Struthio camelus: one gene and its partners. The protein of the gene in region 1 binds, or shares a complex with, the protein of each later gene. Links are inferred from orthologs where the notes say so. Each region holds a gene or a part of one and is shown on either strand. Other genes may lie near its edges. The genes, in order: LAMTOR1, LAMTOR3 and FLCN.

Region 1 (9,535 bases):
CGCACCCTGGCTCCGATGACCTGGATTTCTAATTTTAAAAAGACTCGCAGCCGAAAACCAGCAGCCGGCCGCTGCAGACAACAGCTACCGCCCCTGCGGGCCTCCTCCGGGCGCCGGAGACGCTGCCGTGCCTGCGCCCGACGCTGATCCCAGCGCCACGCTGGATAACTCAGCGCGCCTCGTGCGCCAGCCTCCCACGAGCCCCACACCGCAAGGCCGCGGGCCCTCGGGCGCGCCACGCGCCCACCGACAGGCGGTTAAAGGGTTCGAGCCCCCGGGCAGAGGGAAGAGCACAACGGGAAGATTTGCGCTGTGGGAGACGCTCCGGCTTTTGCCGGGAGAGGAGGCGGCGACCGCGCGGGTGTTTCCCCGCTCAGGGCACCCTGTCACTGACGCACCGGGCGCGCGAACCACCCCTCCGCGTTTTGGTTTCGTTTTAGAGGCGTTTGCCCCGGACTCGGCGAGAAGGGAGAGCGGAGGGCAGGCGCGCGCCGGGCGTCAGCTGCCGCCGCAGCCACAGCCGCGCGTCCCACCAGCCCGCCGGCGGGCAGCCTTCGCCTCCCTCCCGCCGCGGGGCGGGCGGCCGCCTCCGAGCCCTCGCCCCTCGTGGCGGGGAGCCGCGGCCCCGCACCGGGCCTCGCAAAGCTGCTCCCCGCCAGCAGCCCGTCTTTAGCTCCTCCCTGGCCAACATCTGCCTCTCTTCACTTCCTCCTGTGGGCAAACGCCGGTGCAAACGTCCAGCACCGGCCCTCTCCTCCCTGCCCTAGGCCAGGCACGGGAAGGGGGCTGCTCAGCCCAGGCTGCCGCGGGCGAGCTCTCCGGCAGGGAAAGGGGGAGCGGATTAAGTTTCTGCCTGGGGGCACTCGGAGCTGCTCAGCAGCAGAGGCGGCAGCAGGCACAGCCGCCCTGTCCCAGAAAGGAAAGCCTGACACCGGTGCTGTCAGCGCCAAGACGCGTTTTGCCGTGACAGCTGTAGACGTTACTCGTGGATTCGGGCCGACATCCGTAGTCCGAAGGCGGCTCCGAGCGCTGCGGCAGCAGTGCCGAGACGGGGTCTCATCTTACAGGTGACCTGCTGGCTGCACCAGGGCCCTTCCGCCTACCCTGCAGGCCGCGCTCCCGCTGCCATCGCTTAGACAGCGGGAGAAGCGCAAGGAAAACATGCCCCGAAGAGGATTACAGGCAAGAGGAGCGCTCTGCCTCCGAGGCGGTGCTGTCATCCGACAAGAGGAACCAGCCGCGAGCTTGCAGAGCCAGGGGCGGCGAGAGAGGGCAGAGGGGTCCGTCCACTCTGCGCGGGGGGGCAGGCGCCCCGAGGAGGTGGGCATAAATCAGCGAGTTAAACCACCCTGACTCTTATCGTGACAAGGGGCAAGCGCTTGGCCACAGCCGCTTCCACAGGGAATCCGCAAAGCTGAAGCAAGGAAATTAGGGAAGACCGCGAGCGCAGATCAGCGAGAGACTTCTCATGGCGAGGTTTAGTCAGCCAGGGAAAACAGTGTCAGGAGGGGAACGTTTCCGCTACGTTACCGCTAAGCGTCTGCTTTCCGAGGCAGGACTCGAGAGCAGAAAGCTCATCGCAGACCCAAGAGGCCTAGGAGCAGCCAGCGAGTCCCGCGGCCGCGCGGCATCATTAGGAGCAGCAGGCTGGCTCTGCGGTCAGCCCTTTCTTTGGGGTTACGATTTCGGGATCCCAGCCACGCCGCCAGCTCCAGAGCCTTTGGATCCCACCCGACCGCATCGACCCGCGGCGCAGGCCGCCTGAAGGCCGGAGCGGCGCAACGAGAGGCGGCCTGAGCTGCAGCCCGCTCCGAGGCGCAGCTCTGGCCCGCCGGGCCTTGTGGAAGGCTCAAGACGGAGGAGCCACCCGGCCTCCTTTCCGCCCCGAGCGGGCGGTACGCCTACAGCAGAAGGAGGCAGTAATTTGCACCACGTCGACAGCCTGGATTCAGAGCCGAGGGACGCTGCCGGAGCGGATTTGCAAGTTCTGGAATATCAGCGTGGACGTCACGGCCCTGCCCGAGCCCACCGAGGAGCCCGCGCTGCGGCAGCATCGGGGCAGCCTACCCAGCCCCGACGTTACGCCACGCTCGCGCCGGGCGCTCCTCACCTGCGGACCTCGCATTGCTCCTTCCACCCTCGCCGACACAAGCCTAGATAAACGGCCGCGTCCTTCACCTTCACGGTGGGGGGACCCGGACATCTACATTTCCGGAATCCTCCTTCCTCGCGGGGTTTGCCCAACGTAGTCGAGCCACCTCTCTCCAGGGGGAGGCTCACAGCAGAAAGCACAGGCCGAGCCAGCCGGGTCCCTTGCGGCGCCTCCCGAGCGCGAGGGAAGGGCATCCCCGGCCTCGCAGCCCGCAGAACGGGGCTGTTCCTCCCCGCGAGCTGCAGGACACCCCGCACCACGCTCTCCCCGACTCTTCGCCTTCCTCGCAGCGACGCGCTTGCGAACACGCAGCACCTTCTCCAGCAGGCATCCAGACGCAGAGCCGCGTCGCACGGCCCCACAACAACCCACGCAAGCCTGCCTTTCAGCTACAGTCGCCCCACGCTGCTTTTCAGCTCCCTTGCGGCAAAGACGCTTCGTGGCCACTACCACAGAGCAAGCCTGAAGCCTGCATCTCCCCCAGCTGATGAACGCAATAAACGCTCCTTTTGAAGCCGCGTGCCCAAGTTCACTCGTACTCAGGACTTTCAGGAATTACGTTAAAGGGAGGAAAGACCAAAGAACGTAAGGAGGAGCGAATCCCAGAAGCACACGGGAAGAGCTGTGCTTCTCTCCGACTTTCTCCAGCAAACGCTTTGTTCTTGCGAGCGGCGCCAGCTAAACAGCTCTTCCGCGCTGAGCTCTCGATGCACAAGCTAGACTCCCTCCAGAGCAAGACTCCCCCCGAAACACAGGCACCGCAGCCTACCGGCGCCTTCAAGCCCGCGCTACAAGCACCACCTGCAGGAACAAGCACCAAAGCCAGCCTCTCGGTTCGGTCAGCGCGATGCTGTCGCTCGGGACCAGCAGGTTAAGGCACAGCTGGCTGTTATTTGTGCACGTGGGATTTCTGAAGGCAGCACCCATCTCCTGAGAGCGCCATCGAGGGCGCCACACCGCCCCGAGCCCACGCACCAGCCCAGCGGCGACTGCCACCAGCCTGCGCTGGATTCGGGAGAAGGGCACCCAAGAGGATGGGGTCAGGTGAGGGGGGGAACCTGCAAACAGCTTTTACCGGAGAGGCCGGGCCTCAGCCCAAACAGTCCCCCGAGCCCTGCGCCCTGCTCCGACCACGTGACAAACATCATCAAGGCCAAACCTTTCCTCCGAAAACAAAAGTCCGGCCCATTTCCTATTGTGTGGAAGGAGGAAGCCGCGAGCCAGAGGGCCGCAGCAGATCCTCTGCCCCAGCCAGAGGCCGGCGAGGCCAAGGAACCAGAGGGACGAGTCCCAGCCGTGGCCTCCGTTTGCCTCGGAGGGCGCGTCGGAGCCCAGCCGCCGCGCAGCCCTCCCCACGGAGGGGCCCGGCGCCTGGCTGCAAGACCTGAGGGGTCGCGACACCTCTCCCGCAAGCCTTCCCCAAAAGCGGCTCCGCAGACCGAGCCCCAGCCCTGCCCAGGGCAGGCCACTCCCCCCCTTTCCCCGTCCCCCCGGCGCCAGGCGGAGGACGGCAGCGGCGCGCCGGCGTCACCCGCAAGAGCATGGCAAGAGCCCCGAAATCCCGCAGGGCCTCTCCTCAGCCCCTTCCCTAAACACCCTCGCCCCACCGGCGCCCTAACGAACCCCCCCCGCCTGCTGCCCCATTGACACCCCTCCTGCCCCAGCGCTCAGCCCCCCGGGCCCCCCCCAGCTCTCCGCCCCACTGCCGCTCCCCCCCACCCAGGCCCACCGAGCAGCACCCCACCTTCACGCCAGCACCCCCTCCGCTGTCACCCCACTGATGCCCCCCAACGTGCCCCTTCCCCCAAGGCCCCCCCTCACCGGCCTCCCTCCCCCGCCCAGGCTCACTAACTGGCCGGCCTCCCCCCATCCCTCCCGCCACCCCCGCCCCACTGCCCCCGTGTCCCCCCGCCCCACTGTCACCCCGGCTCCCTTCCCCCCACATCCTGCCCCACTGTCACTCCAGCTCCCCCCCACCTCACTGTCCCCCCGCCCCACTGTCGCCCCAGCTCTCCCCTACATCCCCCTGCCCCACTGTCACCCCAGCTCCCCCCCTACATCCCCCTGCCCCACTGTCACCCCAGCTCCCTTCCCCCCACATCCTGCCCCACTGTTGCCCCAGCTCCCCCCCTACATCCCCCTGCCCCACTGTCACCCCGGCTCCTTTCCCCCCACATCCTGCCCCACTGCCACCCTAACTCCCCCCCCATCACCCCACCCCACTGTCCCCCTGCCCCACTGCCCCCCCAGCTCCCCCCTACATCCCCCTGCCCCACTGCCCCCCCAGCTCCCCTCCCCCCACTGCCCCCCCTTGCCCTCCCCCTCACACAGCCCATACCCCCCCATGGCACCTTCCCCCAGCCCCCTGGCTCCCTGTCACACCTAGCTCCCCCCACATCCCATTGCCCCACTGTCACCCCCCAGCTCCCCCCCCAAACACACCCCCAGCACCACTGCCACCCCCAGCTCCCCTCCCCACACCCCACTGTTATCCATGTCCCCCTGCCCCACCGCCACCCCAAGTGCTCTCCCCCAGGCCCCTGCCCCACTGTCACCCCCAGCTCCCCTCCCCCTCACACACCCCACATCCACCCCCATGGTACCTTCCCTCAGGCCCCGCCCCACTGTCACCCCCCCAGCCCCCCTTCCCCCCCGCCCCACTGTCACCCCCCAGCCCCCCCGCCCTACTGTCACCCCCCCCAGCTCCTGCCCCAGTCACCCCCTGACCTCCCCTCGCCCTACTGCCACCCTCAGCTCGCCGCCCCACTGACACCCCAGCTCCCCTCCTCCCACATCCCCCCACCTGTCACCACCTGACCTCCCCTCTCCCCTGCCCCACTGCCATCTCCACCTCTCCCGCCCCACTGTCACCCCCCAGCTCCCCTCCCGCCCCACTGTCACTCCCCAGCTCCCCTCCCCCCTGCCCCACTGCCATCCCCACCTCTCCCGCCCCACTGTCACTCCCCAGCTCCCCTCCCCCCTGCCCCACTGCCATCCCCACCTCTCCCGCCCCACTGTCACTCCCCAGCTCCCCTCCCCCCTGCCCCACTGCCATCCCCACCTCTCCCGCCCCACTGTCACCCCAGCTCCCCCCTCCCCCCACATCCCCCCACCCCACTGTCACCCCCAGCTCCCCTCCCCCCCGCCCCACTGCCATCCCCACCTCTCCCGCCCCACTGTCACCCCCCAGCTCCCCTCCCCCACCTCTCCCGCCCCACTGTCACCCCCCAGCTCCCCTCCCCCACCTCTCCCGCCCCACTGTCACCCCCCAGCTCCCCTCCCCCACCTCTCCCGCCCCACTGCCACCCCCCAGCTCCCCTCCCCCACCTCTCCCGCCCCACTGCCACCCCCCAGCTCCCCTCCCCCACCTCTCCCGCCCCACTGCCACCCCCCAGCTCCCCTCCCCCCCGCCCCACTGCCATCCCCACCTCTCCCGCCCCACTGACACCCCAGCTCCCCCCTCCCCCACCTCTCCCGCCCCACTGTCACCCCCCAGCTCCCCTCCCCCCCACTGACACCCCAGCTCCCCCCTCCCCACACCACCCCGCCCCACTGACACCCCCTGCCCTCCCCCTCCCACACCCCACACCCCCCCGGCCCCCGCCCCGCACCTGGTCGGAGGCCTCGGCCTCGCTGCTGTAGCAGCAGCCCATGGCGAGGCGCAGCAGGGCCGGGCCGGGCGCGGCGCCGCTACGGTGTCCGGCAGGGGCCCTGCCGCCCCGGTCACGTGAGCGCGGCGGCCGCGCGCCAGCAGCGCGCGGAGGGGGCGGGGGCGGAGCCGCCTCCCTCCCTCCCCTCCTGCCGCTTCCGGCCTCGTGACCCGCCATCCCGGCCCAGCCGGCGTCACGTGGGCAGGCGGACCAATCCGAACGGGAGCACACCCCCCCCCCCCCCCCCCGCCGCAGCTAAAGGCGCGCCGTCACGTGCGGGGGAGCCAATCAGCACGCGAAGCGGAGAGCACGTGGCGGTGGGGGGGAGCTCCCCACCCCCCCAGCCGCCTGCTGCCGACACGTGACCGCCGCGGGCCGAGCTCGCGCGTGGGCGCCGTCACGTGGGGGGCCTGCGCCGGTCTCGCGCGGGCACCGTCACGTGGACGCCGCGGTCTTGCCGCTTTCCGGGTTGGCGTGGCGGGCTCGCGCGTGGGCGCTGCCACGGGGGGGTGACGGCACGGCACAGGCGCGTGCGTGGTGTCCCGGGAGGGCGCGCTGCACGCGCGCGCACAGTCACGGGGGTGCGAGTGTGGCACACGGGAACGCGCACTGTCCACGCCTGTTGCAGTGGGTGTGTGCTTTCGTGGGTGTGTGCGCGCGGGTCCGGGGTGTGTGCGTGGTCCCGGGGTGGGGTGAACTGCACATACGTGGCCCCCCCGCTGTGCATGGGCATGGGGGTGTCCCGTGGGGGTGTGCCACGCAGGGTTGTGGCCGGTCACATGGATGTGCACACCGCACGTGGGCGTGGGGGTGGGCACGTGGGTAGGCGCACGTGAGTGTGTGCGTGCGCTGCCCCCGTGTGCCTGGCTGTGTACGTGTGTGTGCATTGCACACGTGCCCCCCACAGCGCCAGGGCATGGGCCAACGTGGGGCCCATGCTCCTGGCTCCCAGTGCTTCCACTGCTCCCAGCACCCAGTGCTCCCAGTTGCTGGTGCTACCGGCACCCAGTGCTCCCAGTGCTTGGTGCTTCCAGCACTCCCAGCACCCAGTGCTCCTGGTGTCGGGTGCTCCCGGCACCCAGTGCTCCCAGGGCTTGGTGCTCCCAGCGCTCCCAGCACCCAGTGCTCCTGGTGTCGGGTGCTCCCGGCACCCAGTGCTCCCAGGGCTTGGTGCTCCCAGCGCTCCCAGCACCCAGTGCTCCTGGTGTCTGGTGCTCCCGGCACCCAGTGCTCCCAGTGCTTGGTGCTCCCAGCGCTCCCAGCACCCAGTGCTCCTGGTGTCGGGTGCTCCCGGCACCCAGTGCTCCCAGTGCTTGGTGCTTCCAGCACTCCCAGCACCCAGTGTTCCCAGTCCCTGGTGCTCTCGGCACTCAGTGCTCCCAGCGCTCCCAGCACCCAGTGCTCCTGGTGTCTGGTGCTCCTGGCACCCAGTGCTCCCAGTGCTTGGTGCTCCCAGCGCTCCCAGCACCCAGTGCTCCCAGTCCCTGGTGCTCTCGGCACTCAGTGCTCCCAGTGCTCCCAGCACCCAGTGCTCCTGGTGTCTGGTGCTCCCGGCACCCAGTGCTCCCAGTGCTTGGTGCTCCCAGCGCTCCCAGCACCCAGTGCTCCTGGTGTCTGGTGCTCCCGGCACCCAGTGCTCCCAGTGCTTGGTGCTCCCAGCACCCAGTGCTCCTGGTGTCTGGTGCTCCCGGCACCCAGTGCTCCCAGTGCTTGGTGCTCCCAGCGCTCCCAGCACCCAGTGCTCCTGGTGTCTGGTGCTCCCGGCACCCAGTGCTCCCAGTGCTTGGTGCTCCCAGCACCCAGTGCTCCTGGTGTCTGGTGCTCCCGGCACCCAGTGCTCCCAGTGCTTGGTGCTCCCAGCGCTCCCAGCACCCAGTGCTCCTGGTGTCGGGTGCTCCCGGCACCCAGTGCTCCCAGGGCTTGGTGCTCCCAGCACCCAGTGCTCCTGGTGTCTGGTGCTCCCGGCACCCAGTGCTCCCAGGGCTTGGTGCTCCCAGCGCTCCCAGCACCCAGTGCTCCTGGTGTCGGGTGCTCCCGGCACCCAGTGCTCCCAGGGCTTGGTGCTGCCTGCGCCCAGTGCTCCCAGTTCCTGCTGCTCCTGGTGCTCCCGGCACCCTGCACCCCGCACCGGGTGCCCCATGCCAGGCACACCGGCGTCCCCGGAGCCGCTGCAGCCGGGCCGTCGGGAGCGCCGGCGTCGCCATCCTGCCCTGCGCCGTCCCGCGGCGGCAGCTGCCAGCTGGGAATCGGCGCGGCGCCGGCGTGCCTGACGCCAGGCGGACGGGACGGCGCCAACCTGCGCCCTGCACAGCCCGGCGCGGCCGAGCGGCCTTCGGGTGCAGGCGGCCGTTGAGCAGCGCCCGCGCCGCCCGAATGCACGCAGGGCCGCTGGAGGGATGCGGGGATGAGGTGTCATTGGCACTGCTCTGCCTCCATGCCCCGGATCCTGCACCCATCCCTCAGCTCCTGCACCCATCCCTCGGCTCCTGCACCCATCCCTCAGCTCCTGCACCCATCCCCCAGCTCCTGCACCCATCCCCCGGCTCCTGCACCCATCCCCCAGCTCCTGCACCCATCCCTCGGCTCCTGCACCCATCCCTCGGCTCCTGCACCCATCCCCCAGCTCCTGCACCCATCCCTCCACCTCCTGCACCCATCCCCCGGCTCCTGCACCCATCCCCCGGCTCCTGCACCCATCCCTCCAGCTCCTGCACCCATCCCTCCACCTCCTGCACCCATCTCTCCCCAGGTGCAGCCTCCCCCCGCAGCCCCTGCGAGGGCCCCGGCTCCAGCTTCGCCCCAGCTCGGTAACCGGAGCCGGCGGCCGGCTGCGGCTAAGGTGACACCATCAATAATTGAGCGGGGAGCTGGGCTGCGCAGGGGCTGCCGGCCGGGCGCTGGCGAGCCTGGCCTGGGGCCGCGCGGCCCGGCCTGCCCGCCGCCCGGGACGGACAGGTAGGAGCCGTCCTGGCCCTGCCGGCCCGACGCAGCGCCTGCCCCGGCTGGGCCCTGCGGCCCCGGCGCGGGGTGGAGGCGCAGGGTGCAAGGGGCAGGGGCAGGGTACGGGGTGGGCAGTGCAGGGTGCGGGGTATGGGGTGCAGGGGGGGAGCTGCAGGGGCCAGGGTGCAGGGTGCGTGGTGGGGTGCAGGGGGCACGGTGGGGGGTGCAGGTTGCATGGTGGGGGGTGGGAGGTGCGGGGTGCAGGGTGGGGGGTGCAAGGGTGGAGTGTCGGGTGCAGGGGCCAGGGTGGGGGGGTGCAGGGTGGGGGGCAGAGGGTAGGGTGTGTGGGGTAGGGTGAGGGGTGCAGGGTGGGGGGGTGCATGGAGCAGGGTAGGGGGTGCAGGGTGGGGGGGTGCAGAGGGCAGGGTGTGTGGGGCAAGGTAGGGGTGCAGGGTGGGGGGGTGCATGGAGCAGGGTAGGGGGTGCAGGGTAGGGGGTTGCAGAGGGCAGGGTGTGTGGGGCAAGGTGGGGGTGCAAGGGCAGAGTGTTGGGTGCAGGGGGCAGGTTGGGGTTGCAGGGTTGGGGGTGCAGGGGGCAGGGTGGGGGGTGCGGGGGGCAGGGTACAAGCTGCAGGGTGGGCAGGGAAGGGTGCGGGGTGTCGCGTTCAAGCTGCAGGGTGCTGGCGGCAGGGAACCGGGCGCAGGGTGGGGGGCTCGGCGCAGGGCACGGGGGGGCGAGTTGTGGGGTGCACGGAGAAGGGCCCCGGGGTAGCAGGTTCCAGGTGCAGCGTGTG
Region 2 (9,535 bases), on another chromosome or scaffold:
AGAATGTTATGGCACAACAGAAAAATGGACCAGGCTCTGTCATTTAAAAATACTATATTTTATTTAAATTTACTTAGGAAAACCAAGAGTAAATGAGCTGAGAGTGTCACCAGTAATGAACCCACACAAAGAGTATGAGACATAAGAACTTCACACCTATATTACACAAAAACCCATGAAGTGAAAGACTGGGCACTTCTCTGGGCACTAGGAAAAGCCCTGAAGCAAAAGCTTTTGTAGGAACAGCTCTTGTATAGAAGCAGGATGCAGCCGACATCCAGATTAACAGAACTCCTTTTCCAGAGCATCACCAATCTGAGAAATATGGGGTATTTATTGATTGTACTGATATGTCACTGCTAGCAAACTTGCTTTCACAATATTCTTTTTCAAGCACATCTTTGATAACATTTTGTAACAAATTAAATGTTTTCCAGTATGCAGTGGTAGCTAGTCAGAGGATAAGTCCTGCCATATGCCTGATTCCCTGTACAGCAAACGATCTGTGAGTTGCTCATTTGCACCTACAGCATCATGCTGATAGAAACAGCTCAGCTGGCTGAGCTAAACTCCACGGGAGCTATTTTGGTGGTCTCTCCAGTACTGCACAATACAAGAAGTGTGGCCTAAATAACATCCATCTACAACACACTAGTAGATCATTTCAGATTCAGTACTATGTACAATTTATTCTTACTTAGTATACTAGGGAGATGTGGTATTTCTTCTGAGGCATGTTACTCGACTGAGGATTATTGAATCTTTCTGCCCACTGGGCTGCAAAGAGATGCTGAACTTGGGCTATGCCATCAGGTTAAGAAACTTCAACAACCTGCCTCAATTCTTCAAACAGGGGCGTGAGCTCCTTCTCTAAACTTACAATCAACCCTGGAAAGAGAAGAGACAGAACATCTCATTAGATCACCCCACAGCAGAAGCCTCTCTCCAAAACCCGCAGCTCCCTCCTCTTTGAGGCCACATCAGGAAATCCTTCCTGTACAGAACATTTCACTCCAGCTTCTTGCTCCCCAAGGGAGAGGCACGTGGCAACTGATCCTGGCAGCAAACCGAGGGCCCCCGTGCCCGTTCCGAGGTGCGGCCCAAGGCACAGGCACGAGCAAACTCACTGCAACGCAGCTGTCAGCTGTGCTGCAAACCTCCTCCATTAGTGCCCTGCTGTTTCCCAGAGTTATCAAGGGCCAAACAGCTGTACCAGAAATAAATCCCTTTTGCTCTCACTCTCTCCCTCGTTAGCCAATACCCTTGTGAGCAAATCCAGGTGACTCACTCCAGGGTTTGCCTATCCTAGAGAACTGAAAAGATGAAGCTGCACATGTTAATGCGGGACATAGCTTGCCCTGCATTAGTTTCATTACTGCGGGTGGCAATAACTGCCACTATTGATTTAGTAAGATACAGATGTTGCTTTCTGTGAAAACCAAGAGCGCACCTGCCCCAGAAGCCAGCCATTTGACAAGGGTGGGAAAGACAAGGCATAGAAGCCTGAAAGAGTAATTTAGAGATCGTTAGATTTTTTTTTTTTTTAAAAAACATTTGGTCCACTTCATGTGGCACTAACGGAAAGAGACCAAACAACTGGTTAATACGACACGATTGTTGCCAGTGCAGTGCATTCTCTCACACAAGTAAGGATAAAGTCAAATACAGGAGATGCAAGCTACTTTCTAACTGAGAGTATTGTCTTCAGCAAGTCACCAGGAATCTTCAGGAATTTTTACCCATGCATTTCCTTCCAGCCCCTCACAACACTCTTTCTGATAAAATTCATAGCAGGAGCAAAGTTAATATATCTTCAACTAAATTCAAGTAATTTATCTTCAATTATTCAAACATCTGGGGCTTAAAATGCCATAATATTTAAAGCATATCTGAAGACATACCGGTATTGGCATTGCTGCTAGCAATGAAACTTACTACCAAAGGCAAGCGATTGAACTGGACCACCTGCAAGGAAAAAGAATAATATTCAGAAAACAGCTAACACACCTTGCACTTTAGAGCTTTGCTACATAAACTCTTTCTGAAACAAGTACTCTCCACAATTTAAAGGGCAAGTAGGAGTAAGAACTGTAGAAGTGGCTTTTAAGCATATCTGTTTCATAAGATTCATTGTTAAAAACACTAACAGAGCCTTTACCACAGTACAGGAAGGTGTTCTTAGAAAGCCTGGTGTTTCCTTCCCTTTCATTTTCTTCAATTATCCACTTGAAATCAACTCAACTGCAAAAGCTACAGAACACTCTATGAAAATCACACACTCTACAGATGTCAAGAAGGCAGGCAGGTTTATTGCTTTAAAATGCTACTCAGCGTATAGAAATATTTCTTCTTTCCTTAACTGGGAGCTCAAACCTTGAGCACAACAATATATCAGTAGTGTCAAGAGAATCAAAGCAATATATTCCTGTGCATAAACTAATTCATTCAAAGCTGGACACAGTAGCCCAAACAGCTGATCAGTTTACTGCAGTCATACTAAAAAGCTTGCAAGACCACCAGGACTTCAGAAGGAGCAGAAACTTATTGGATGCTAGATTTCAGGACACAAATATAATATCTAGTCTGTAAAAATTGAATGGGTATTTCAAAACTTTCTTTTCTTGAAGTCTTATTTGCAGCAAGATTAACTGTGAAGTAAGCTGGATGTGCTTATTTGAAGTTTTTTTTTTTTTTTTTTAATAGGTGTCTCTGATCATAAACACACAAGTATTCATTTGTACAAGAGAACGTTAACCCATCATAACAAGTTCTGGAGGCCATTTCAACAGCACCTGCAGCAAATTGCTGGTTACTATCTGCTCAGGAAAGCTCACCAGTTTCAATGAGTAAATCTTCTCAGGTTTGATAAACAGGAAAGTAGCTCAACAAATATCGCAAATGTTTAACTTAGCTAGCTTTAAGTAGCACCAGAAATAAAACATACATAAGTATTTTAATAGCAGCCTATTGGAAACCTACCACAGCTTAAACCACCTTCCCTCTCCTTTCTCAATGTAGGAATTGCTCTGGCCAGTAAGAACAAGCAATGCTGTTCCTCACCTGGTATGTATTGTAGTAACAGATGATGCTTTTGTTTTTTGAAAGTCCTAGTTTACTGCCCTGATCTGTTGCAAGGGCAAAGGTGGACAGAAAGCCAGGTCTAAGTGCATGTTCTGGAGCATTATCATTGGCAACTGAAACAAAACATGAACATTTTTTGTTTTTACATGGTATCTATGACCGCATCACAAATCCTCATTCAACTTGGTGCTGTTCCAAATGTAGATTTGGTGTACAAGATGCATTATTTGTCCCCCAGCACTTCTGCAACAACTAACTGCTATGGGGCAACCTTCAAAAGCAGTATATAGGTTAACATTCAGTAAACGACCTGTGGTCGTTACACCAGCATCCTTCCTTGCACTCCTAAGAAACACTTTTCCTTTATGGAGCACAGTCTGTGTTAGTGCTGCTTTGGTTCAGCATTCTCCACCAGCAAGCATTCATTTGCAGGAAGGCAGGTGAAGGTACGCAAAATCTGCTTGGCACTTAAGTACTTTGGGACGTAAATATTTTCAGGTACCTGAATCTTTGCATTCTTAAACTATTCTACCTACAACGTATAAACATCTTAAACAAGAACTGCAGAGACATGATACAAATGATAGTGCCAAAAAAGCAAACCGAGTCACATAAAACCTGTAAGTTGGATGCAAATTCTTCTGAGCACAGATCAGAAGGTATTCAAGGTATTATGCTAACTAAACATCACTAACTTCCCTCCTAGCACCTTATAACAACCTGCAAGTGATCTGAAGATACAAACACCTTATACCATTCCAACCATGTTCACTGATGATGCAAAAGAAGAAAAGTCCTGTGGACTACATCATCAGGAACATTGCATAAACATAGATAGATGAAAGGATTACACAATTAACTATTAAAGCAAAAATCTGATATTCACAGATAGCAGCTGTAAACACAAAAGTCTGTCATTCTTTTACCCACCCCTTTGCAGCACACAGTGAGAAGCTGAAGTTTACCTTTGATAACAGGCACACCATCTCTATCTGATACTACAATAGCATGAAGACCTTCAACACTGCAGAAAACAAAGAAAATACACCTTTTAAAATGAAGAATAATTAGTGACAAAGAGTTTTTTTTCTGCACAAACATGCAAGAAAGGGAAGAAAGCAATACGGAAAAAATTGCTGCAGTAAGCTCTGCCTATCATGAAAACACTACTCAACAGGAAGAGACTTGTAAAATACATACTGCTCAATAACCACGGTCTCTTGAAAGAATTAAAACAGTGAGTATAAAATAAAAATACTGAAGATGGTGTGGAACTTTCAGCAGCAGAAAGAGGAATGTTACTGTAAAAGTTTCATTAGCCAAGCAAGAGACTTGAGATATAGTATATAGTCAATAAGTGCCAGTTTCACTGTGTTTGTGCATGATCTCCTGACTGCAGCTGTTTAATGATACTAGTAACTTAAAATTACCCCAAACTGAGTTATCAAGGACTTGGAGACTGAGTCACCAGGAGTGTTTTTTTCCACTTCTCATTGAGAAGTGATAAAGCATACTGGGCTTCCTTTCAAACGCACAAGTACAAGGTTAAGCTGGTTTCATCTTAAGGTACTTCCAGCTCACTTACACAACAGAAAAGTACACTAACCTTCGGATTAACCATGTCTCTTTAACAGCAAAAGGGATTAGTAATTGACAGTTCTCTCGAGTCAGATACCGCACAGACATCCTCTGGCACAGTTTAAAAACAACTTAAACGTTTGACACTGGCAGGCTAGATAAGGATGCTTCCAAAAGCCACCGCATTGTATTACCTTCACTGGAGATCCGAAACAAAACAAAAAAAAAACACCAAAAACCCCACAAAACAGCACCCCCAAAAACCGCAAACGCACCACTTGCGAAACAGGACAGGCAGCCGGCACCCGAGCGCGGTGCGGTGCCCACGTTACCTTGGCAGCTTCTTGTAGAGAAACCTCTTCAGGTCCTGAAGGGAGAGACGGCCGTCAGGTTGCTCCTCAGAGAAAGCGCACGCAGAACAGCGCCGCAGCCGGCTCTGCCCGCTGCCGGCGGCTCCCCTTCCCCCCGCGACCGCCGCCAGCAGTCCGGCGGGTCCGGCCCCCCCCCCTCCCTCCCTCCCTCCCCGGCGGCGCGGGCCGGGCGGCGGCCGTTAACGGCTGCTCGCGCGCCCAACCGCCGCCCCAACGGCAGCACCCCCCGCGCGAGCGGGCCCGGCCGCGGCCCCAGCCCCCCCACCCCAAGGCTCGCACTTACGTCGGCCATGGCTCGGGGCCTCCCGGCGCTGCTGCCACCTCCGCGGCCCTGCGGGACAACGTACCAACGGTCACCAGCGCCGCGGCGGCCCCGGGAACGGCGGGTGGCCCGGGTTGGGGGGGTGGGGGGGGAAGGGGGGGGGCAGTGCTCACCTGCCTGCGCAGCCGCCACCGCCACTTCCCCTTTAAGCCGCTATCACGTGACGACGCGGCCGTCACAGCCCCGGAAGCGCTTCCCCGCCGCGGCAGCGCCAGATTCGTCCCGCTGGCAGGCGCCGAGCATGCGCGACCGCGGCGCGGCTACGGTGCGACGGCGGGGCCAAACGCGGCCGCGCCGGCGGCAGGAGCCCTGGGGGCGGCGGAGAGAAGAGACAGCGCGGGCGGCCTTTCACACCGAAAATAAGTTTATTTTGATGCCAGTCCCGTGTTACATCAGGTATATTACAAACCACACAAGTCTTTTAAAACCTCACTCGTGAGCTTCGACTGCGCATTGGCAAAATAAAGTCCGTTTCCTGCTGGGGGACCCCTTTCAGTGCAGCCCCTTTTGCCAGGCTCCCGCTAATATTTGATTTTTCTTTTTTTTTTTCCGGAGGTCTCCTGCACTGCAGTGCTCGTCTACGAGCCTGAGCAGCCCCTTGCTCCGGGTTTCATTCCGGGAACGTCCCCTGCTAGGGAAACACTTCGCTTACTGGAAAAATACACTTTTTTTTTTTTTTTTTAAAGTGAATCGACTCCAGAGCTGTCAAAGTTAGGTGGGCACTTTTCACGGCCAGTGGAAGCCCTGCTCTGTGCAAACTTACAGTAGCACAATATAAAACAATCACAAATTTGAGGTATTAGCTGGAAAAAATCTGTACACCTATACACATGCGCATGCACAGTATTCACAGTGGCCCCAAGACCAGCAAACCTTGGCATCTGAAAGAAACTATATCCTGACCAGGGAAAGTATACATGCAAAAAGCTTTAAAAAAAACCCACACACTTTGCATAATCCTTAATATAAGGATTTTTTTTTAAACCATGCTTAGAAGAAATCAAACACATTGGAACAAATTCCTGTTGTTAACAGTGACAATGAAACTAAGAAGGGAGTCTGAAATTTCCAATTTCCCCGTAAGGATTACAAAATTCACCTAAGAGATTACTGCAAGATTAGCAGCTACTTTTCACCAACCAGCACAAAAACTTAAAAGATAGGGTTTTTTGGTTTTTTGTTTTGTTTTGTTTTTTTGTTTGCTCCAGCAGCTTTTCCTCCCACGCTGCCTTTGCGCCTACAGCTGGCCGAGGCCTGCAGGACACGCAGGGCTGCTTGGCCGATTTGCCTATTTCACCATCTGGGCAGAAAAAGCATTTCTGTGGCACCAACAGAGGTAACCAGAGGGAGGGAACCTTGTGCTTTTCTGTGCCCCCCTGGGGCTCCGACCTGAACTGGGATCCCCCAGAGCCCCTCGGGCACAAGCTGTTTAATTCCATTTAGGACACCCAGGACAATTCCAGACAAGATGCTGTGCTAGTTTCAATGGCAGCGGAATAAAAACCTCAACAACTATTGTCTGCATTCAAATACTTCGGGAAGTTGAGCTATTTTCATAGGAATCGGATGTTTCTTCTCTTGCAGTCAACACAGAGCAAAACTAAGGGTTCTGTTTTTCCAGTAAGCACCACAGCTCATCTTCTAGGAAGATCGGGGGAAACAGCACAGTTTTGGAGAATTCCCCCCCTCGCATCTAAGTTAAAGGAACAAAAACTGAAATGTCCATTTCTGCCTAGTATAGTTATGCCTAGTTTCACTTTTCCAGTGAGGCTCATCTCCCATAAACATACCCATACTTTTGGATCTTGTCCCATGCACCTGCAGACTAACAATTTAACAAATTCAGGTGAGGAAACAAAGCAGATTCATCCACTAGATGCTCACTGTATAAAAACAGAAACTGTGTATCTATCTTAAAACTCGTGCTGTGTCAGAACCTAGGACCACGGTGGTGCATTTCAAAGAGTGTTCAACATATAACAGTGCTCCTTCTCTGAAGGAGAGCTGCTACACACTGAGCACGGCTGAGAATCTGAAGATTTTGTCTGGATGACAATACTGGAGCTCAGGAAAAAAAAAAAAAACTTGACTCAAACTTGCTAATGTTTCTGAACATATAAGTCTTGTGAGGTCAAAAAAAAAACCCAAATAACCAGATACAAGCCAATTTTGCAAGGCACAGAGGAAAAGTTCAGTAATAAAGGGCAGATTCCTTTGCATTTTGAGAATCTATGCATCTTTCTAAATACAAGACACGGCAATTTAAAAAGGGACTTAGTCACACTAGAGCAACACTTAAGGCAATCCCCATAAAATTCTCATATGTGAGCTCCTGGTAGTATTTTGAGAATGTTACATGCAAAAACCTTGATTCATTCATTTCTTAAGATATTCCTCACCATACAATAAAAATATTTAAAAATGCAACTGGGTTGTTAAAATTTGGCAGCATCATCCTAAGTGATTGATTCTACTTCCTTCTCTGTCACACTAAGTACTGACTGAAAGCTGTGCAAGAGCATCTATGAGATGACTCCTGCATTTTAAAGTTATCAGCAATCTCGTCTCCAGTCCCAGTGACAGCCTATGTATACACAGAGCCTGTGCTTGCAAACCCTGCCCTGAGAAATCCTGAAAAATCTGACAGTCAAGCTTAATTCTTGCCAGCTTGGGAAGTCTCAGCTATCCCAGAGAACAGATATATGGGGAGGAGGGTTTATAATGGCATATTTCTTTCCCATATTTATTACATTTGTACTATTTGCTCTGAAAAATATCTAGATCACCCTTCAAATATGGCACTGCTGACAATGTTTTACATTTGTTATGTGGTACCTTTTGTCCAGGCTCCCTAAAGTGGTTTACAAAGGTGCATGGGGAAAACAAAGCCCAGAGATGAGTGATGCTTGCAAGATTATAGTAAATCCGTAGCAAAACGGCGATACAGCACCAGGGCTTGCGGCTGCCAGTCATCATTAATCATCATGACCAAGCTTCCTCTGGCAAAACTGACTGCAGTCTATTGAACAGATCTAGACAACTAGGAAGCTAGTACTTTTTTAAAATTACAATTTCAGGAATTTGCATATTGACTGGATTTCCTCTAACAAAGCATTTGTTTGACCATCCGATATTGCTTTCTTCTGCTGTGTTTGAAAGATCTACACTAGGAAAGGATGATGACGATTCATGACATTTATGGAGCAGACAACCTTAAAAAATGTATTTTTGCCTGGCCACTTTAATCCTTGTATTGCACTCATTACAACAGCATATTAAAAATGTCCATGATTTACAGTTGCCTCTGCTGCCTATTTAAAAGCATCCATTACATTTTAGTGACTATGTATTTTTATATTTCTTTGAAACTTATAAAAGAATTGAGACTGTTTAAAAAAAAAAGTCAAAAATTCAAATTTAATCTCGTTTTCCCTAAACAGGTAGAGAACTTGCAGGCAAATGTTCATCAGATGGGAACAATGAACTTGCTCATGACTCAGGCTGCTCCATAAATAGAACAGATATCGATGTTATTTCAGCAGATGCAAATCACCTCCCTTTTTTCATTATGGTATGTCAGAATCGCACGCCAAGATTTTTTACTTCTTGAAAGACTTTCCTACTTGCTCTTCTAAAGGAGAAATCAAGAACCCATGTTTGTCCTGTTTTTAATTCTAGATTAGACTAAATCCAAAGAATAAGCAGTTAATTCTAAGCAGCTGGAGAAGCTGAGGGGTTTTTAAGTGAGGCTGTTCAAAATCACAGTTTTGTTTTTCCCTTTTCTTTCTAGTATCTTAACTGTATGAGTACTTAACCTTTTGAAGAAAGGTCATCTGAAAAGATTAAAGTACTCCACTCTCTTCAGTTAGCACCTTCCTCATAAAAGGATTCACTCTGAACTTTCCAGCAGATTCCTTCAGCAAACCTGGGAAGATGACGACATTTCTGAAGATAAAAACTTTAGACTCAGGAACAAAGTAACAACTAGGCGAGAGAAGCACCCACTAGAAACATTAACAGAATGTTTATAGGCCATATTTAAAGCAAATTAATATTTATGTTACAGGAAATAATATCATCCTTCTACATTCTGCATGCTACTGCATATTCAAACTCAGCAACTATTTAATCTGTTAAATGTGAAGTAGCATTTTTCCACCAGTTTAAACATATTAGCTGTTTC
Region 3 (9,535 bases), on another chromosome or scaffold:
AACAACACATGTGCGTGCAGAGTGCCTATGAAGCCAAGGGCCTTGGTTTCACATTCCTGTCAGTCATCTCCATATAGAACACACTAGCTACTGCACAGACTAACACAAAGGTAAAGTCTGAGAGAGATGGCTGCGTTTATCATGCTGACGAAAGGACCTGGTATTTCACCACCCAAAGTATTCTCCAAGCAAATTCTTCTTGGAAAGTTTAGTCTCACCCGCAAGTTTTTCCATCTGAACAAGCGTGTCTTCTGTTGGTGCTCCCTCCAGAAGCTTCTCTGTAAGTCGGCTGCCACAAGCTTTCAGAAGCCTAGAAACATTGAAAAAACGAGAGGAGCGCTCATTAAGCCCATTTGCTAGGTACAAAAGTCGTGTAAGAAACTTGGTGCTACGAGCTTAACAAAATATCGGATCACTACCACTCTGTGGTTCCTCTCAACACTTCTCGATTCTTTTCTCTGTTTGTAACTATCAATGCATCTTACAACTACAGCCACCCAGTCACTGAAAGGCCTACCATTTTGCAATTACTTTGTGCAACACTTACCCCCCTATTCAAGCCACATGCCAGTGTTGCAACCCTCTCTGTGGCATCTTTCCAGGGAAGTCTGAGGAGCAAGTCAGGCACTGGAGCAACGTGCTGTGGAATCTCACAGACATGCTACCGCGCCAAACGCTGCGTCTCACACTGTATCTCACAATACACGGGCACCTCCAGGTGAACAACCACTGTACTTCAGGTGTGAATCCCAGGTACAACAGAATGGGGCTGGGGACATCTTTTCTTGCTTTCTTTTGTACTTATTTTTATAGTGCAGAGTCCTTCCATCTAGATAGACATGGTTTCCATCAGCAACCACGTTAATAGGTTTACTTCACAGCAACAAGAGAACTTCTGTCCTAAAGGCTCCAGACGGCTGCTCTCTTTCTGTGCTTAATTCCTTCTCATTCGGGGACTACTTCACAAAGCCCAACTTACTAATTGAGGAACAACCAACTGGAAAGTCCATTCGCGTTTCCACCATTTCAGAACATGAGAATTTTCTGCTCTTGAAGGAGTTACAGAAGCTAGAAACATAAATGGCATTACCAAGCAAAGGAAGTATGCAAACATGCCCACAGGTTTTCATCATTGGTCAGTGATGTTAAGGAGCGGGCTGCGTTGCCGTTCCGCTGGTGCAGGAAGGGAGTGAACGCTGTGTTCATCCGCTGGGCACGCTGAGGGCACCCATACTGCTCTGCTTCAAACACCTGTGTTAAAAAAGAAGGGCAGTAAAAGAGACCGAAAAAAATAAAATGCTGAAGCAAACCTGAGACAAAAGAACAAGTGAAAAGGACATATCACATACAGTCACCCAAAATACGTTGTAAATTATGGGAAAAGAGAGGGAAGGGACGCTTTATTCTTCGACTGACTAAAATTACCATCAAGTGACACCCGTGCTCCCTAAAATGTTGTTCTTCACATCTTAATAGCTACTTGAATTTCCTAATGGAGACAGTGTCTAGCAGTTAGGGCTGTGAAAAGCGTTATAGCTGGTTTAAACCGACTTGAAGCTTGCTCCTCCTCTCCTATGCCCTGATGTGGACTCTCCTCTTGTCCCTTGTGTCAACCTTAACGACCTCTCTGGCTGCAGTGAGCTGCATTAGCTTTCTGATTCATCTGCAGACCAACTGCCATAAAGTTGATCCAAATCCACTCCCGCACTGACCCACCTTGAGCGCTTTGCCCTGAAGCTCGTCAATGATGCCTCTGATTTTTCCCAACAAGAAAGGCCAGGAGTTGATGAGATAAATCCGGTCCATCATGATAGTGATGATGCTGTACCAGCGCTGGAAACCACGAGCCAGGCTGTCTTTGATAAAGAAGGTGTGGCTGAACACAAAGCCATGCTGTTCATCTCCAAAAAAAATAGGGCCTTCACGTCCTGGACAGACCTGAAGGGAAGGGACACATACACCAAACTAGTTCAGTACATCGCATAGCTGAAACACTAATGAACTGCTTGAACAAAGCCTCCTGCTCTTTAACACCCCCTCCCATGAAGCCTAAGTTACCTGGTGAATAAAACAAGCCTTCTCTAGGCTGCTATCCAAAATACATAAGCAAACAGACCTCCAGAGATAGCCTGCAAGTGTGTGACCCTCATTTAAATTATTTTAAGAATTCAGCTCTGCTCCACTATAATCACGTTGAGACTCCACAAGGAATTGCTGATTCTGACACACAAACACTCATTAATCCGTAAGGTTCCCCTTCCCTTCTGTGAGATGCTGAACGTAAACGGTCTGCAAAGATAAAACGTTTCTTGATGCAAAGCAACAGATTGCAACATTTTTACAAACACAGTTTATCTCAGAAAGAAAAACAATAAATGCATAGGAGCAAAAACAATAAAGGGAAACTTCTGGTGTCACAAGGCAAGAGGAAGGAACTCCCCCCCACCCCGGTTAGCAAAGATCAACCCGGAAAATTCCCACCAATCCTGGAACAAACAGGACTTCTATGTCTGTCTTTCCACCTCCATTCCTTCCTTGTTTCAGGCTGCACAGAGCGGCTAAGATCAACGAAGCAGTATCTTGGATTCAGAACAATGCGTAAGCCCCAAACCAGATTCTCCCCCTGCACTCCAAGCCAGTTACCTCACAACTCAGACTGCGAACACAGGCCTGACGCACAATACTGAACAGTTGGGGGTGATTTGGGTGTTGGTGACTGACATATTTGATTGAAGTCTCTTTGTCGTGGCTGACATATCCAGGATGTCCTCCTGCAAGAGAGCGGCAACCCTGAAGATAGAAAAGCAAAATCCAACCATAAATGAGCATGCAATTACCTAAGGTTTTCAAAGCCCTCTGCATGTTCCCTTCAAAAGGTAGGGAAGTGATGTTTACATTTACAGATGCAAATGCAGATATTCATTAAGAGTAAGCTGGACATAGGAAGTTTGAGGCAAGGTCCAAATCTGAACCCAGCTCCTCAACTAGCATCCTAAGGGCTATATTTCCTCAGCTGCTATGCTCTTTTTCCACTGTTTAGTTTGATCCGGGATTTGATGATGACTCTACAAGTCATCTAATTCAGTTCAACGTTAACAGCAACTGCGAAACTAACGAGCTAATAAAAATGGCCATTATCTAAAAGAAGGTAACTAACTTAAGTAGCTCAGAAAAGCATGTGAACAACTGCAAACATGTATTTTCTCTATCATTTTAATTGCTTTTGGGATTTTTTCCCGGTTCCTGTTCAATGCTGCTGTTAAAGTTTACTAATCTACGGCCAGACCTAACGTAATGAAGCAGGTCCTCTTCAAGGATGAACGAGCCATTTCTCAGCCACCAGAGAATCAGGTAACATAGGCCAAAGTGTCCTCAAAAGATCACCTTGCCAAAGCCTATATGCACAAAACAGTTCCTTAACATCCTGTCATGGGTTATTACAGTTTTTAAGGACTTGAAGATCTTTTGGTACTGGCAGTCACACACAAATGCGAGCGTAGGTCACGTGCATTTTCTTCCTCCTAAGCAATACAATTGGAATTAGAGAATCCATGAGCCCCTTAGTTAAGCAAGGGGTCACCAATGTCTGCACACACGCATACACACTTACCTCACACATGTCTGACTTTTTTGGCCCTGGGCTGCTGGAGTCAGCACTGGCACCTTCTGCTGGGCTGTGTGAGCGGATCCTACTGCTCATCTGAATGCCGCCTTCTTCTTCTTCCGCCTGCTCATTCTGCCCAGAGACGTCCCCGCTGCTTGCACCTTGAGGAAGCGGTGAATGTAGCACCTCGGTACAAAAGAGGGTGCGAGGACCGTGGAGCTCACAAAAATGGCAGAGGGCAACGATAGCATTCATAGTGAGAGCTCAGCACATAGGTCAGGCCTCCTGCAGGAAAGCAAGGAAGCACGCAACATCAGTAAAACAAACAGAGGCTAAAACACCCCTCGGCACAAGTCCTTCTCTACGCTCCTCCATGAGATCGTGGGGCTAAGCTCAGCTAAAGGGACTACACGCTCAGTCCATTTTTCCCATGCTGAAAGACACCAGCAGCAGCTTGCAGAGTGTCTTCTCTTTGCCCAAGCGAAGCCTTGACACCAAGTTCCCCACAGGGCAGACCAAACTCAGGCCTTCGTCATCCCTGACCGCTCCGCAGCCGGGACCGTAGCAGAGCAAGGGCAGATCCACAGTCACCCCTCTGCCAAGCAGGCAGCGGGCTGGCTGCTCGCCGGGGTGCTAGACCCGCACCAGAGAAGCGGGACCCCCGGCAGACCCGGCCCCGCGCCTCACGGACACCCCAGCCTGGACCGACCTCCCCTCAGCCGGCACCAGGCCCGGACACCTCGGCCTTGAGGGGGCGAGACTAGGCCAGACCGATGCCCCCACCAGGCCTGGACGCCTCAGGGCCCCGCCGGACGGCGTGAGGAGGACCGGACCGTCCGGGCCAGGACGCCTCAGGCCCGACGGGACCGGACCGGACCGGACCGGACCGGACCCCCCCACACTCACCGCGGCTCCGGGCTCCCCCGCCCCGGCCCGTCCCGTGGCTCCGCGCGCCTGACACTGACTGACCCACCGGCCTGTACCATCCCTACGCGACGGCGAGGGGGAGGGGGAAGGAGATGACTTCTCGGCTCCGCTCGGGCCGCCGTCAAGGGGCGGCAAGGAGCAAGGAGCGCGGCAGCGCAGCGGCGCCGGCAGCTCCTCGTCCCCGGTACGGAGCCGACACCTGCTGGCCGCTTCCCCGAGTGGCCGCTTCCCCCCATCCCCCCCCGGTTCGGCAATGGCTCGGTCCACGACCGCCCTTTGCACACGCGTTGGGCAGAACCACTCCCTAAAAGTAGGGGGGGCGATAAGCTCTGGCCGAAGGCTCCTCCCTTCCCTCTCCGGCTCTTTCGCCGGGCGACCCAGCGCCGAGAAAGAGCCCCGACCCCTGAGACGAGCGAGGGACGGGCTGCCGCCCTGCCACCACCGCAGGCGCTGGGCCTTGAGCCGGCGCCGCACCCCCGCCCTTGCCCGGCGCGGGTGGTGCGGTCCAAAGGGCGGGTCACGTGCCAGCCACAGGGCGCGGGGTGGCGCCCCGCGCGCGCAGGCGCGTGGGGGGGCTCCCGGGTGCGCGGCGCGGGGCTGTGCGCGGTCGCGGGGCTCGCCTCCGCCAGCCTGCCGGTGTGGGAACGCAGCCGCGCTCGGGGACTCCTCTTCCGGGGGGGGCGCAGAGAGCCTAGACGAGCGGTACGACGTATGCTGTAGACTAATAAAATACGAGATTAGGGCAGATAATGGAAAAAGCCTTTAAGTATTGTCTTTTTCCCCTAATTATATCTAGAAAGTCAGCCCAGCAAGGCCCAGATTAAGACCCTGGAGGAAGGGAGCAGCCACCTCGAGTTAAAAGAAACAAGCCAGTTTTAGTCTCTCCTGCTATACGCATCCCCCCTCCTTTCACTTGCACCAGTTGGGCATTAGTGGTGGCAGTGGTACTAGCTCACTATTTATCCCTAGGAAAATGCAATGAAGAGATAAACCTCAAATTCCAGGGGAAATAATTATCCTTTCAGGCTTTAAAATAATCAATTGCTAGATTCTCCCCCTTCCCCTTCCACTGTAGGTGAGCCCTAGAACACCTGAGCACTATGGTAAGTCTTCTGCCATGGAATAACATAGATCTATAACATTTTTGGAAACCGCGCTAAGGCAGAGAGAGGGTTGTATTGTTCTTCACACGAGAACAGAAAAAAATATATAGATATATATACTTTTGACCATTCAGCTGAGCACACCTTGCATTGCTGCAGACAGTTTAAATCCTCCGAAATAGCAGAGATCAATGATTACTACAATATGTGCCCTTGGATCCAAGCAGCCATGCTTGGACTAAAGAGTTATGCTTCTGGTGGAGAAAATGGCACTCATCATTCTGATGGTGATCATAACACAAGAGATGAGATTTGAATGCAAAGAGACCTCATTTGCAGCATATGTTTGATCCAGAGTCCATCTAACCCTGGAGCCCGTCTTGGACCAGGGCCTGCAGCAGCTCTTCCTAAGGAGGTCCTACCGCCTGCTTGCACAAAAGGAACCAGCTATTCCTACTTGAAACACTCCGGGAAACCTCTGAAAAGCTACCAACAGAGCTTGAACAACTCCTGACCACAGGGCATGGCGACGCGCAGACAACAACTAGAGTCTCCCTCCGACCAACTGTAAGCCATCACTTGTCCTGAGAAGCGACAAGAACAAGAGAACCCCCCAAAAGCCAAGAGAAAGCCAAATAAGAAACACCTACTATCTCGTTCTTTCAGGCCAGCCATTTAAGACAAATTAAGAAGAATTACTCGTTTGTTATCTTTATTTTCCAATAGTACATTTAAACAGCTTCTCAGGTCTAACCTCCTCAGCCAGTATGGCCATGCAGAAAACAATTCCTACGTTATACAGAAAACCCATGACAACACACAAAACGGGTCGCAGTTGTACTGTAGAATAGAGAAAGGGAATTTGTGTAGAACGAGGCAACTTTAATTACGCAAAAGCATTTGGCGCAACGGAAATACTGCAGATGTATTAGCAAAGTTCACTAGTTAGTGCTCCTCAGTGGCACCAAAATAGGAGAGGTGGTTGTATACAAGCAACTTCTAGCCCTTTCTTTAAAAAACAAAACAAAAAACCCCCAAAATCCCACATCAGTAGCTGCTACGTATAACTGAACTGGAGATCCCTCCTGTGGCTAAAAAGTGTAGTTGCAAGTCTCATGTTACCTTAATTAATGCAGATATAAAATGCAGTTAATGAAGATGCATGAAAATATGGGTTAGATATCAAAGCACGCACTCAGTATTTTGTGATCACACCTTGCGGTCATGCACGACTGGAAGAACTAGCACTTCTCACATCCTAAGTTTGGATAAACACAGCACGTAGTGGCCTTATATTTGTTGTAGGGAAGGGCTTTGGTAGAATAGAAGTTACAACCAGAAAGCTCAAGTGTTCTCAAAGCTTCTCAGCTGGCCACAGCCCCACGCTATTAGTTCCAAGACTTGAAGGAGCTACTCCATTAAAAATCTGGAAGACTTGCTTTCAATAGGATCTCAAGACATGCAGATGCCAGACTGAACGTATTTATCAGACCCCCCTGCTTAGAAGCCCTTCTGCAAAGCACTTTTGGTGAACGCTTTCCATCGACTCAGCTCTAGTGGTGGGACCTGACTTTGAATTTTCAACAGCAGTCAGGGAATTTAGCAGCACAATTATCCACATCAGAAAACAAACTTTAGCAGGTCTCAAACTTTCAGATTATATATAAATGCTGCTATTCTTAATCTGTTTTTTTAAGGGCAATGCTTTGAAACTATCACATAGCAATTTCTACATCCTTTTGACATGTAGTATGATTTACTTTACCTACTTTTGGCAAGAGGAAAAAAAAAGAAAAAAAAAAGCTGCCCTTTGCCAGCTGCATGTATTAGTTTGCTTGTAACTCCACACATACAAAAGCCACTGCAACAGCTCTCAGCAGGTACGTCCGTGTTCACTAATAGGAACTAGTGCTACAAAACGTTAGCCATGCGAAGTGGACATTTCTCATTCTTCTCAAACTTCACGAAAACATTCTTCATACATTCTCCCCCGGCAAGTGGTCCCTTGGTGACAAAAGGCGAGCTTTCCACATATTTGTATACGTGGCAGTTTGGGGTTAGTCACTGTCAGTGCTTTCTGTGACTACTGCATATGATCGTAAATACTTCTACCACCCAACTTTGCGCTTGAGCCCACAACATTATGAATCACATATTTAACACTTCCACAGTACCAGAGCAGAAAATTGTATGAGCATGTTCAGCATTGAAATCACTGCAGGATTAACTAGGAAAAGACTTTAAAAATCATAAATATCTTTAATTACAAGACTGGTAAGGCAAGTTGTGAAAAAAAAAAAAAAACAAGATTTTCCTTTAAGATTAGGTGTAAAAGTTGCCTTCAAATATGGAAGTTGCTATGATAGGAAGCACAAGTACTCAATGGTGAGCTACTAACGCTATGGACCTATGCTGTGTTCGCTACTAAACTGCTATTTTATACTTTTAAAAACTTCATTCACCACCTAAAGAACAGCCTGTGGACACTTCTCTGCTACTAGAGAGCACTCAGTCACAGAGGCTCTGCTAGAATTAAGATGCCCGTTTCAAATGAAAACCCCAACAGTTCTGTATCAGCACTGGAAGCACAAACGATATATTTTCCAACCACTGGTGACCTCAATACATACAAGTTCCACACGGCAAGAGCCAGAAATCCTTAGTTCCCACCTAGGCACCTGAAAAAAACTGGCAGGTCATCAGCAGTAGCAAGCAGCTCCTATTCAGGTGTTTAAGTAGGAAGCACTGGATGCTGAGCTGCTCACATTCTGACTTGATGACAGGTTTATTTATGTCTGATAGTAGGAGATTTGCACTGACATTAAGTGTTTCAAAGGTGCTCGAACAGTAATAATCTTCAAGTACATTAAGAGCTACAGAAAAATTGAGAGCCCATCGATTCAAAGAGCGAAGCACTTAAAGAACCCAATGACAACGCTGTGATGTTTGAAATAGCGGTTTAAAAACCAGATGTTATTCCAGCATGTTATTTCCAAATAAATCCCTGCTTTTAGGAGAGCTGTATACGATTCTATCATAAGGAATTGCTTTCTTTAGAAACAAAGAAAAGATCTACAGCATGGCCTTCACTTAGACTGATTTCCAACGCAGAAAAGTACTAGAGGGTTGAACAAACTCATTTATGTCCTATCATATAGAAGCAAGAATTTAAGTTTCTTTCAGCTTGAACAACTTCACAGCAAGCATCCTCCAGAACACCAGGGTCTTCCAAATACCCTTTTGGTTAGGCCCAGGACGTTTGATCTAATAGCAAACATTATTAGGAAATATTTTGTCCCAGAAACTTAGAAATAAATAGCTGTCATATACGGATGCCCTACAGTGATTTCTGCTTTTCAGCAAGACCACCTTACAAGGAGTCATTAATACACTCACCCTTTTGGGAAGAGGAACATGGTTCTTATTTCACCCTTTACTAGACAGCAGCCAACTACACCGGGCGTATGCAGATTATGAACTCAAGGGAGTTTTACTCAAACTCCCCACACCATACATATGATGAATCTGCACTTGGAGCCAACCTCAAATACAAAATAATAAACCAGTAATTCTCTTGCAAGTGAAACAACACTAGCTTGTATTCTTCCCTGAATAAACACTTTTTTGCAAAGAGGAAAAGGACTGCTACAGAAACACAGCAACATTCAAACCCTTTAAAACAAAAGGTAGATTATTTAATGCATTAACGATGTTAATCTGAAGATAAATAAATCCACAACAGACTTAAGTTTCTTTTGAGATTTCCTTTTTCTTTGCAGAGCATATTTCTGAAATTATACAGTACTGAGAGGGTGTTCTTTTATTTTCTTAATGTCCAGGTGTAAAGCAAAGCTCAGTTCTCTCTGCTCTCTTCATGGAACTCCTCAATGCCCTATTCCAG

Evidence for each region.
Region 2: LAMTOR1 (region 1) and LAMTOR3 share a complex: the UniProt entries of both Homo sapiens proteins name them as parts of the ragulator complex. The link is inferred for Struthio camelus from reciprocal best matches to the Homo sapiens genes LAMTOR1 and LAMTOR3.
Region 3: LAMTOR1 (region 1) and FLCN share a complex: the UniProt entries of both Homo sapiens proteins name them as parts of the lysosomal folliculin complex. The link is inferred for Struthio camelus from reciprocal best matches to the Homo sapiens genes LAMTOR1 and FLCN.

What each region holds. Positions count from the first base shown.
Region 1 is NC_090942.1:224,068,493-224,078,027, reverse strand, and holds the start of LAMTOR1 (ragulator complex protein LAMTOR1), read right to left. Parts: upstream 5,940-9,535; 5' UTR 5,806-5,939; coding exon 5,764-5,805; intron 1-5,763. UniProt on the Homo sapiens protein: Key component of the Ragulator complex, a multiprotein complex involved in amino acid sensing and activation of mTORC1, a signaling complex promoting cell growth in response to growth factors, energy levels, and amino acids.
Region 2 is NC_090945.1:27,875,456-27,884,990, reverse strand, and holds LAMTOR3 (ragulator complex protein LAMTOR3), read right to left. Parts: upstream 5,603-9,535; 5' UTR 5,466-5,602; intron 5,362-5,465; 5' UTR 5,323-5,361; coding exon 5,314-5,322; intron 5,027-5,313; coding exon 4,992-5,026; intron 4,106-4,991; coding exon 4,047-4,105; intron 3,195-4,046; coding exon 3,061-3,194; intron 1,966-3,060; coding exon 1,902-1,965; intron 889-1,901; coding exon 815-888; 3' UTR 38-814; downstream 1-37. UniProt on the Homo sapiens protein: As part of the Ragulator complex it is involved in amino acid sensing and activation of mTORC1, a signaling complex promoting cell growth in response to growth factors, energy levels, and amino acids.
Region 3 is NC_090956.1:4,043,258-4,052,792, reverse strand, and holds the start of FLCN (folliculin), read right to left. Parts: upstream 4,784-9,535; 5' UTR 4,578-4,783; exon of another isoform or gene 4,314-4,577; intron 3,890-4,313; 5' UTR 3,860-3,889; coding exon 3,611-3,859; intron 2,791-3,610; coding exon 2,644-2,790; intron 1,939-2,643; coding exon 1,717-1,938; intron 1,252-1,716; coding exon 1,091-1,251; intron 311-1,090; coding exon 219-310; intron 1-218. UniProt on the Homo sapiens protein: Multi-functional protein, involved in both the cellular response to amino acid availability and in the regulation of glycolysis.